Linked DNA regions of Tamandua tetradactyla. The protein of the gene in region 2 interacts with the protein of the main gene of each other region in a pairwise test. Links are inferred from orthologs where the notes say so. Each region holds a gene or a part of one and is shown on either strand. Other genes may lie near its edges.

Region 1 (3,748 bases), on a different chromosome or scaffold from region 2:
CATTTAATAATATAAGTAGAATAATAATCATCACTTACTGAGTACTAATTATGTACCAGGCTGTGAACATACTTTATTTAATCCCATGATATGCAAAATTCATAAAAGCCTCTCAAAACAGTTTTTATTAATCTCTTGTTATTGATGAGGAAACTGAGGTAATCATCCCAATTCAAATAAGTAGATTAGTCCCAAAATCAGGGCTGTATCTTCCATCTCAGATTAGTGGTTTTTCCACTCTAACAATGGGAGGTAAGGCATGTCAAGAAAAAAAAGCAGTATGAAGTCTTCTATATCCTCTTTATATACTACCCTTTTTTTTTCTTTTTTAATCCGTGATGTGATTTATGGGTTAGGAAAAATTCGGTATCATTACTAAGACCATCTCATTCTAATGAAAAAGAACTCGGGTGCACATACTATTTTTGCTTCTTCATTAAGCTGTGGGTACCTCAGCACTACAGGTGATGTGATCACTTGGTAATAGGATAGTACTTTGAGTTTACTGAACATTTTTCTAACCCTTATCCTATTTGATCTTCACAATAATCCGATGAATTAGATAAAGGGGCTATAATCAAACCCACGCTGTTTTTACTAATGAGGAAACAGACTCAGTTTCCTTGAAAGTCAAGTCAACTAGGAAGTGGCAGAATCAGAGATGAAAATGCCTATCTTCTGACTTCTAGGCTTTGATCAATTGTGCGTAAATAAATCTTCATGGTTAATCGCCATCACCAGCAAGCTGTATTCTTGCTTCGTTTATGCTCAGCCATCAATTGGGGGAAGGGGTGGCAATCACCCAAAGAAACTGACAACCATGAGATTTACAGAAATGATGCCAATACCTAACACAAATACTATTTCTTGAGTAACCATTTCAATGCAGTGTACTAAAGTATCAAATAAAGAAAAGCAGTTTTCATCTTTATGTAAGAAAGTAAAATTCCAAGACTTATTCCTAATATATCTTTGATATACATCCAGAATTTATATAGTCAATAGCCTCACACTTCATATTCTAAATGCTCAAAGTATCAGCGAGAAGAAATTGAAAACCATTAGCAAAACATGTTATGACAGTGTCTTGTTATTTCAGAACATATTCCAATTTCTTTAGAAAAGAAGAACAATAAAGAAAAATAAATCAAGCATGGTGCTAAAATTAACTGTTGCCAGCGGGCCTGGAATCAGATCGCAGGGTTAGAAGAAGAAGATTATCTCGATCAGGAGGACTTTGCCCTCTACCCAGAGCTGAACAATGGCCAAATACTTATCGGACCTCTTTTCAGAGAGCTGGTGAATGCCCATTCAAGGTCAAAAACGCTAACCATTCTTAATTGTAGCAGAAATTTATTATATACCTTTTATTTGCGTTTCTGCTGTTATGAAGACTTTTGCTCACTAGTCCTCTCATTGGGATATTTGTGAATTGCATGCAATTTATTATTTGCTCCACCTTCTCCACTTAAAAAAACAAACTACACATGTAATATGCAGATGTGCAGGAAAACAAACAAGAACACAAAAAATTTTAAGTTACCCAGGGACCCTTCACCCCTCCCCCCAAAAAACAGTTAACATTTCTGTACATATTTCTAGCTCTACGTGAAGGTATACATATATACGCTACATTTACAAAATGGGATCACACTACAGTAAACATCATTTTTTTTAAAAAAAGCAACTTTGAAATACACGTTAAGCACCCTATTACTTTTCCAACCAACAATAAATGTCTATGTAAAAAACACAGTACATAAAGGGCAGTAACACATCAAATAGAACCTTCTTTAATGCCTTTCATGCAGTGTAAATATTCTCTCCTAATCCTTATTAAAATAAGGTAAATATTTACAATTAAAATCTACCTCTTCTACTAAAAGGTTTAAAAAGCACTTTCACCTCCATTTTAAAATCAGTATACCTATTTTCCACATTTTAAAGGAACTGAAACACAAACACGCAGGAGAGCTGGAACTAGACAAGCGTCCACTACGTGTTCAACTCGGCGTCAAACCTTTGATTACAGAGATGGTCACTTACTGGTTGGGCATATCCTTCAGTCAGGCACCAACTTTTACCCCTTTGCAAAGAGAAAATCCGCTTCAATTACTTGTGTGCCTAGGCTGTACTGAAAAAATAAAACCAAAAGGGCTAGGCAGCGTGGCGAGTGGTTAGACTACGGGCTGGAGAACCGCACCGGGCCCGACGCGAGTAGGGTGCGAGGGACGCAGAGTGTGGGGTGCCCTAGGGTGCGGTTCTAGGCGCTGGGGAACCCAAGGCGTGCGGGAGGCCCTAAGGTGCGCGGGGCGCGGGGCACGCCTGGACCACGCCACCCGCATCCCCGCGCCGCGCACGCAGACGGTGGGCCTGGGGTGGGGGTGGGGTGTCCCGGGAGCGACCCCAGAGGCCCAAGCTGACCAGCAGCAGGAGGCCGAGGCGCGCCGAGGGCGGGATTAGGTGTGGCCCTGTCGTCGCGAGGGCGGAGGGTTCCGCCATCCCGCCCTAAAACGGCGGCAGGTTTTCGGTCCGCACGCCCGGCGGCCCCGGGCCCGCCCTCCCGTCCTCCCTCGCGCTCCCCCGTCCCGGGCCCGCCCAGGCGCAGCCCCGCGGTCCAGCGGCCCCGGCACGGGCGGAGGAGTGCGCGGCCCAGCGGCCCAGTGCCCCGGCAGGCCGCACCGCGCTGGCCTTGACGGTCGCCGGTGCTTCCCGGGCGACCCGTCTCCCTCCCGCGCGCCCCACGCTCTGCCCAGCAGTCCCGGCCCGGGCCCCAAGGCCGTACTCACCGCCGCACGCCGCGCCTGCGCAACTCTCCTCAGGGGACCGCCAACCGCGAGGGAGGTGACGAGCGCGGGCGGGGCGGGCGGCTGGGGCGCGCGACCGCACCCCGCCCCCTGCTCGGGAGAGACCACCGGCCTCCTGGCCTGGGGGTGGCCGGCGCGGGGGTGTGGCCCCTCATACGCTCGGCGGGTGGGCCCTACCGCTTGGTCCGCTGCTGGCTCGTTGGCCCGGGGGCTCCCCTAGGTCGCCCGCGAAGGAGTGGGGGCGTCGCTGCGGGTGGGCAGCCTTGTCCCCAGGAAGCGCCTCGGGGCAAGCGCGAGAAGGGTTTTGCCGGGATCAAGGAAGGTATATAGACCTTGGAACCCCCGAAGTGCCAGAGCGTCCCGGGGCCGGAAGCGCCCGGCTTCTCCTGGCGTCCCGCGAGGAGCCGTGCCGGGTGGGTGCCGCCGCAGGAGTAGGTGGAGGGCGCCCGGGCGGCCCTGGGTCCGGCTGGCCTCAGCCCCTCCTCGACTCCAGGGCCAGTGTGGTATTGGGGCTGGGTGACCTGACCTACGCGAGGCCCCGTGAGCGCGCGGGGGAGCGTCAGTGCTGCGAGAACGCGGCTGCAGGACCTGTCCGCCCTTGCACGAACTAGCGCGCACGTACAAGTTGATCCTCACGACCACGTGTCGAGGTTGTTCCCACTTAGCAAGTTAGAAATGTGAGCCAGTGAGGGGCTGGATACGAGTCTCAGCGCCCAGGGTTCAGGGAAGTGGCAAGGGAACGAATGCTCCCCTGGGGCTGTTCGCGTTCTAGGCCTGTTGGTGGTCAGCGCTGCAGTCAGGGTCGCGTCCGCGCCCGCGTTGCCTTCCCCACTCCCGCCCGGCCAGCGACCGGTGCGGCTGCAAAGTGACCACTGACCCCAGTTCCATCCCCTCGTGCCCCCAGGAGGTGAAGCCACGCTTTTATGACCGGGTAACCTTGT
Region 2 (3,748 bases):
TGGGGTCACCAGTGTCCCCTCCCCAGGGTCCCCAGCCTGTCCTGAGGCCCGGGCGCTGCACATGCACCGCTTGCTCACAGACACACACGTGTGTGCGCACACACCTTGTAGCCCTCGGCATCCAGCTCACGGAGCTTGCGTGGAATCTCGAGGTACAGCATCCTAGGGTGGGGAAGCGGCAGGGTAGCCAGGAGCTCGGTGGGAGACTTTGGGTCCCACTCCCTCCCTGCTCTTGCCTCTTCTCACCTCCAGTCAGTGGGGCCAGTGGGAAAGACCTTCCCTGAGCGTGTGGTGATGAGAGTCCCATCCAGGTCAAAGCCGGCCACCTGGTGACACCAGGAAGAAGGGAACACAATGTGATTACACTTCTCATCCTCACCCACAGACAGATTCACATGTGTCCATTTTACAGGTGGGGAAACCGAGTCACAGGTGAACATCTTATGCAAGGACACAGTCCCTCCAGGACCCACCCTCACTGCCTCTGAGTGCAGGGCCTGATGTGTCTCTCATTGCTTCTGGATGTCTCAGTATTCCACTCTTTAAAATGGGCATTCTTAGCTTCGTACTCTCCTTGCCCCACCTTCTTCACCTCCAAGGGCTAACAACAGGAATTAAAAACAGGCCAAGTTTTATTTGGGTGCTAACTGTAAGCCATGTGTTTTTCATGGATTCATCTTTTCAGAAACGAGGGAATGGGGGTCCAAGCCCTAAAACAGCATGCTAAGTGCCTTTGAACTCAAGTCTCTGGACCTAAAAATGATTCATCATAATGCTCCTGCCACAGTTCCCAGGTGGCTACCATAGGTCAAGCTGGAGCTGAAAATATAATTTCCCCTGAATTTGTCATGTGAGAACTCTAATGACTTGCCCAGGGGCAGAGAGCAAGTGTGTGTGGGGTTGGGTCCCCAGTGGGGGTCCCTGCAGCCCCAGCTGGGCCTCACCTTGCCACAGGCCTTCACCCCAGGTGCTGTGAACACTAGCAGCTTTTCCAAGTCCTCCCAACCCGGGGATGACTTCCGCATCCTCTTTTTCTGCGGCCCAGAATCCTGCCCCATGGCTGGGGCCACCGGAGGGGTACCCGGTGGAGTGTCTGGCTGGGATCCTGGTGTGTGGGCCTCTTCCCATCGCAGGGTCAGGGGATAAAGGCCATTGACCAAATACAGCTTGTCTCCTACTCCCAGGGTACTCTCCAACCCAGGCTTCAGCTCCTGGGTCCCGGCAGTTGAGGGGTTAACTCCCAGCTGCAAAACAAGAGCGAGGAACCAGCATTGGCTCTGCCCCACCTTAGGAATGTCCTCCCATCAAATGCCTTTGTCCATTGCCATTCAGGCCCTTAAGACCCACCTCTTCACTGTGTACCACCAATTCGGGTTTTAGAAAAGATTTCAAAGGCAGGGTGTAGCTTGGTTCAGTTTGAATGAGGGTAGATAGATAGATACCCCACGGAAACAGGCAGCTCTCTTGGAGTCTCTTTACCGGTCACATCCCACCCTCCCCAGCCCATCAGATTTTCCCAGGAGGTTGAGGCTCCTCCCCAGACCCCGCCCCCCGGCTTTCCGGGGCGGGGGTGGGGTGGGGGCAAGCTGAGGCTCTGGTACCTGTTTCACTGCCACTGTCCGCGTCTCAGGGTCTGCGACCAGCTCCACTGAGGGTTGAGGGGTGGAGTCAGGATTGTCATCTTTGTGTAGTGGAATCCCTCGTTCCTGGGCCCCAGGATTGGGCTGTAAGCACCCTTACCGGGGAATTACTGATTTCTGAAGGGACTGGCTCACGCTTTCACACACGTGATTGTAGGTAGACTGAACCCCCAGGAAAAGGGCGGGTACTTTTCTCGAGAGAACTGGCTGCCTCCTTGACAAAAGGTGTGGCTACCTGCTGGTTCTGGGATTGCCAGTTACCAGCCATCCCTACCAAGCAACCTCCACTTTTCTCCGAAGGGGCGGCTCTCTCTAACAACGCCCGTGGCTCGTGAGCATCCTTCTCTGCCCACTGGTGACCCTGTCCCTGGCGCCAGCCCCCCCTCCGCAGACAGTGTGTGGCCAGCACCAAGTCAGGCACAAGCCAGCTCCAGGGTTGGCTGCGCCGTGCAGTCCCATGCGGCAGGCAAGCGTCTCCCTAACCGCGCCTACGGCCCCTCTTCCCCACCCGGTGGCGTTCCGGCTCTACGAGGCAGGCCACGTCTCCGCCCACCTTGGTTTCTGGAGCACTTCCGGTCGGCGACCTGGGTCAGAGGCCCCCGGCCCAGGACGAGGGTTTGCCCGTCCGAGGGCAGGAAGATGGGAGGTGCCCCACCAGGTGGGCTCTCCAGCCACAGGCGGCCCTGGGCCTCCAACTTGGCCATCCCGGCCCGCGCCTAGCGGGAAGTAGGTTTAAGAGTTTGAGTGGCAGATTTGAGTCCCGCCCTCCGTCCAATTCCACCTCGGTTTGGTTCCTCCCGAAGGCCCACAGGAAGTCTCACCTACCCACAGTTCCCCATCCCAGACCCGCCACTCGGAATCCCCTCCATTTAGCTGCTACCAGCTCCGGAAATCCCACCCTGCCGCGCCATTTCCCAGGCGCTGACCCCCGGCTCCATCTCTCCGGGAGCCGTGACGCCGAGTTGCCCGGACCAAGGCCGCGAGCCTCGCGTGGCGCTCCCGGCCCGCCCCCAGCCTCACCCGTGCGCGCTGCGCGGGCTCGCGCGCCACCTCCCACCTGGGAACTCCCGCCGGAGGCGCTCTGCGGGCAGCCGAGCCGGCCGCTTTTGCTGGTCGGTGGCGGACGGAAATGACTCTGCCACCGAAAGGGGCGGGGCCCGGCCCCTCCCATCACAGCAGCCCCGCCCCTCCTCCTGTCGCTTGTGCCTGCGGTCCCTTCTCAGCTCTGACCTCGTCCCTCCTACTACAATGTGAGATTCAGGCCAGTAGGGCGAATGTGTCCGTTTATAGTTTTTCCTCTCATCATCTTGAACACTTAACTTACATCCTCTTTGCTGGAGACCGCTACAGCGGAAGTAGGTTCTTTCGCATTTGAAGTGGAAGATACCCTGTCACTGACAGCAGCACTAATCCTAGACCGTTCTGATTTAACCGCGATGTTGCACTTTTCTCATTCATAAAGTGCAGATAATCATCTCCGCTTCGTGAATTACTAGATTCAAGGGGTAAATACCCGTAGAGAGCTTAGAAAACGTGCGGTCATAGTAGACCCGGCTACATTAGGTTGTCTATTGCTCGCACCCTTCCCATGGTGCTCTGTTGGGACATGGAGGCGTCATGAGTACTTTGCGGAGTCCCAACTTCGGGCCAGGTACCACCGGCTCTCTTAACTTCTAGTCTTCTTTTGGTAGGAAACCTGCGGCCCCATCTGGCAGTTCCTGCCAGAATCGGAGAATTATGTGGGTTCAGGAGACTGACTCCTAAAAGACATTCGGATTCCAACCCTAATACCCCTAAAGACGGGGGCTCCACAGTCACACAGACCTGGAATCCTCTTCCCCAACCCGCGAATCTCCGTTTTCTTGTAAAATGGGCATAACCCCAACTCCCAGCTTTGTACTGAGAACCAATGAGATGTTGCTCTTTCAGCTTCAAAAAAAGTTTGAATGAACACCCGTTAACACATATCATACTCGTCAGAGGTAAAACTTTTAATCGCAGCGATCCCAAACTCCTTAACCCACCCCCCCACTCTCTCCCCCATACCAGGGCCGGAGAGTGCGGCCCCCTGTCCCCCACCTGGGGTGGACGAGGGCCCTTTAAGGCAC
Region 3 (3,748 bases), on a different chromosome or scaffold from region 2:
AACATTTGTATCACTCCAGAAAAAGAAAAACCTCATACATACCATAACCCTTACCCTTCCTTCTCATTGACCCATGGTTCCTTTTTATTGCAAACATTCTAGAGGACTATATCAGTTGGCTATTACTTCCTTTTCTCCTATCAAATTATATGTACTTGAGCATTGAACTGATTTTATCACAGCAATTTTCTCAATATAAAAGTGAGTATACTGAGTTTATAATTCCATTTAAAATATTGTCTTTGTTTTTGAACATAGCTTTGTAGTTTTTGTGAAACTAATATATGGGCATTGTGTCATGATTTTTTTAACTTTTTTTTTTTTAACAAAGGTAAGAGTAAGTTACCTGAATTCTATTGCTCTGAGTTAACTGGTAATATTACAGTGAATATCCATAGCACATATAAATATGTATTCATTTTAATATAATTGGAATCTTAGAATACATATTCTGTAATTTGCTCTTTTCACTCAACAATATATGGTAAAAAAAAAACAATATATGGTAGACATTTTTCCTTGTCAATAAATGTAAGTCTTTATCATCATTTTTTATGTCTGCATAGTTTTCATTATCATTATTTACTTAACCTGTTCTTTATTGTTGGATTTAGGGCTTCTACAAACAATGATGAATACTTGTGAAATTTTCTTTGTAGAATAAACTCCTAGACCTAGAAATGATGGGTCAAGGAATGTACACAATTTATGTTTTCATACATATTACTAAATTGCTCCTACAGAAAATTGGCCCATGCTCTAACCTATTATCAGATTCCCTTATTCATAGTTGGAAATCCTGTTGGCAGTCTCTCAGTACATCAGCATAGTAGCAATTTAGTACAGTAGTTTTCTTACTTTGAACAGTAGTATCACAACTAACTCATGAGCTTCTTCAGAATTCTGGGGTTTGTTTGTGCCTTCTGGTCCTAGTAATATGTGTCCCTCATCATTTGCCTCTACTGTCTAGAACACTAGTGATTCAGACAGTACAATTTTACATGAGATTGAAATGACAAGGAATTGTTGGACTAGAACCCAAGTGTTCTTTTCACTGCTTCTTGGATCTGCCGAGTCTGATATGCTTCAAAGGACAGTTTTGAAGTAGGAATTTCCCTTATGGTATATTCCATAAAGAGCAAGACTATTTGTTTCAAGAAAACTGATGCTATTTCCTCTTTAACTTCTTGACCAGAATGAAATAGCAATATCAGTCACTAGATGTAAAGTCTTGGGCAAACTACTTACTTTTTGTACTTTAATTTTACCTCATTAGATCCTCATAACTGCCCTGTGAAATTAGATACTACTACAGCCATTTTACAGATGTAGAAACTGAAGCTGAAACTAAGTGGTATGCCAAAGTCACTTAGCTTGTAAATGGTATACCTACGTATAAGGAGTCTTAAGTCTAGAGATCTTTTTTGCTAATCTACAGGTACCTCCATATCTGATAGTTACCTATTTTTAGTTAATGTTTATTTTTCTGGTAATAGTTATCAAATACATGTATGTGTCTGTGCTCATTCTAAGTAGTTGTCAATAAATTTAAAGAAGAGTTGCCATCAGGTGATATTTTGGAAAAGGGAAACAGAAACTTACATATCAGCTGATCTTTATGATATAGTTTGATATAGTTCTTAAACCTTAACAGACGGTTTTTCAATCTAAGTTTTCTTAAAATGTTTTACTTTTTTAAAGTTTGGTTTTATTTGGACATTTGTACACTTAGTTCTTTTTCTTCTAAAAGGCATTTACCATTTCTTTGGTATATGGGGTCAGATCAAGAAATAGTTTGCTCATGGTAAACTGATGCAAAAGTCATTTCCAGCTACTTTTTTTATTCCCCAGCTACTTTTTTAAACCTAATGAAGACCCATTTTTCAATAATCTTCTAAATTTTGTTTACTCCTCTTAAAGATAGACTTTTTAGGAACAATAGCATGTATTATTAGCATAGAAGTAATCATCTATTCAAAATTCTCTTATTTTACAGACAAAAGTAAGAGAAAATGAGTGATTTTATCCAAGGCTGGAGCAAGAATCACAAGATTTTAAATACTCGCTCTGCATTCCTCTTCTGTGGGAGACATTTACTTGCAAATTGTCTCCTTCAGCTCTGGATGCTTTTGCCTTTTATTGTGTTCTTATTGTTTTAGTAGTTTGCAATGTGTATGATAAAAGTGAAACAAATAGGGCCTTCTGGAATTTAGTTGCCAGTCTTTCTAGGATATTTAAGTGATATCCTAAAATCTTGCCAGCGTTTCCTTATTTTAAATGAGATTTTCAGTCAACAAATATTTGAGTCCTGACGTGCAGGTGGCACGGGGAATTGCATTTTCACAGTGAATTGAAGGAGGAGAGGAGTCGGTTTCTTAAATATTTGACTAATAAACTAGTACCTTTAACTGTATATGACAACAGGGAAAATTTTTCCTTGGCTAGACAAACTGAGGGGTTTATTATTTGTTTAAGCAAACGTTAACACCTCCATCAGTAGCAATTCGTTATATTTCCTAGAATAGGGGCTAAGAAATACCTTGGAGTCTTTCCTTCCTGATGTGATTTCCCAATTATGTCATACCTTCCTGAGGCTGCACTTAAATCCCACTTTTCTGCATGAGCGATGGCGAAGGCACTGGCAGGTTTCCAAACGTCTGCCTCAGTTGGGAATTTCTTCCAAATGTTGCTGTCAGACCACAAAGCTAGCTGGTAAAGTGCTCACAACCGAACTTCAGAAGGCGCCTACCCAGGAGCCAGAGCGCGCCTGCGTGTAGGAGCCCCTTTGTTACTCCGGCGCTGGGGTCTGGCTGCGCCTGCGTGGTGAGCCGGCAGGGACAACTGCGCTGCGCGACTGGCACCAGCTGGGGGCGAGCAGATCTCCGACAGTCGCCGCCGCCGCCGCAGCCGTTGCGACCATCGCAGCGGAGTTCAGAGGGCCCGGAGGTGGGGGACTTCCCACGCTGGGACTGAGATGTCGTCCACCGCAGCGTTTTATCTTCTCTCCACCCTGGGAGGGTACTTGGTGACCTCATTCTTCTTGCTCAAATACCCGACCCTGCTACACCAAAGAAAGAAGCAGCGATTCCTCAGTAAACACATCTCTCACCGTGGAGGTGAGAGGGGTCCCCAGAACCCGATGGCAGAGGGGGAGAAGCTTTTTTACCGACTAGAGCTGAGGGTCTGTTGGATTTTCGAAAAAGGCAGGCGGATGGAAATAGCGTAAGAGTTTGAGGAGGAAAGCGAGTGTGTGCAGAGAGGACATCCCCGGAGGTGAAGACGGTGTGAAGGGGGAGGTCTCTGAGGGAAGAGAAGGAGTCTTGAGGCAGAGCCAGGGTGGTCACGGTGATGGGGTCTCTCCAGGGCAGAGGGTGCGGTATGAGGGGTTCTGTGAAGGAGGAAGGAGCAGGGTGACAATGAGAGGTAGATAGACGGAGCGTTTCTCGGTGGGTGTTTAAGGATAATCGCAAGGTCCCATCACAGCTGCGAGACACATTGGGGGAGCGCGGTGCAAGACTGGCGTACCCAGCCTGGGGAGCTGGGTGCTCACGGCTCGGACAGCGAGCGGGTGGCTGAGCGTGTGGGGAGAGCCTGAGTGATGAGCTTGGGCACCTGAAGGCTTCCAGGGCTTGGGAACAAGATGAAGCCCGTGCAGTGCTGCATGCAGCCCGGGTATGTGTAGTCCCCGGGGGCAGGTGCTGCCCCCACGCTTTGAACACTGCTGAAAGCGGTGGCCCAGAGTCACACA

Evidence for each region. The genes of interacting proteins can lie anywhere in the genome.
Region 1: the proteins of PNKP (region 2) and ZNF639 interact in binary tests that used the Homo sapiens proteins (3 or more experiments, as listed by UniProt). The two-hybrid records come from large-scale screens. The link is inferred for Tamandua tetradactyla from reciprocal best matches to the Homo sapiens genes PNKP and ZNF639.
Region 3: the proteins of PNKP (region 2) and TRIM37 interact in binary tests that used the Homo sapiens proteins (3 or more experiments, as listed by UniProt). The two-hybrid records come from large-scale screens. The link is inferred for Tamandua tetradactyla from reciprocal best matches to the Homo sapiens genes PNKP and TRIM37.

Annotation. Positions count from the first base shown.
Region 1 is NC_135331.1:77,607,798-77,611,545, reverse strand, and holds the start of ZNF639 (zinc finger protein 639), read right to left. Parts: upstream 2,881-3,748; 5' UTR 2,790-2,880; intron 2,558-2,789; exon of another isoform or gene 2,425-2,557; intron 2,404-2,424; exon of another isoform or gene 2,135-2,403; 5' UTR 2,047-2,134; intron 1,482-2,046; exon of another isoform or gene 1,365-1,481; intron 1-1,364. UniProt on the Homo sapiens protein: Binds DNA and may function as a transcriptional repressor.
Region 2 is NC_135342.1:11,295,063-11,298,810, reverse strand, and holds the start of PNKP (bifunctional polynucleotide phosphatase/kinase), read right to left. Parts: upstream 2,792-3,748; 5' UTR 2,698-2,791; intron 2,357-2,697; 5' UTR 2,345-2,356; coding exon 2,194-2,344; intron 1,649-2,193; coding exon 1,602-1,648; intron 1,525-1,601; exon of another isoform or gene 1,245-1,524; coding exon 945-1,244; exon of another isoform or gene 686-944; intron 676-685; exon of another isoform or gene 413-675; intron 398-412; exon of another isoform or gene 327-397; coding exon 247-326; exon of another isoform or gene 163-246; coding exon 105-162; exon of another isoform or gene 1-104. UniProt on the Homo sapiens protein: Plays a key role in the repair of DNA damage, functioning as part of both the non-homologous end-joining (NHEJ) and base excision repair (BER) pathways.
Region 3 is NC_135332.1:40,340,734-40,344,481, forward strand, and holds the start of TRIM37 (E3 ubiquitin-protein ligase TRIM37), read right to left. Parts: upstream 2,811-3,748; 5' UTR 2,585-2,810; exon of another isoform or gene 2,540-2,584; intron 1-2,539. Other genes in the region: lysophospholipase D GDPD1, read left to right, coding at 2,975-3,116. UniProt on the Homo sapiens protein: E3 ubiquitin-protein ligase required to prevent centriole reduplication. Probably acts by ubiquitinating positive regulators of centriole reduplication.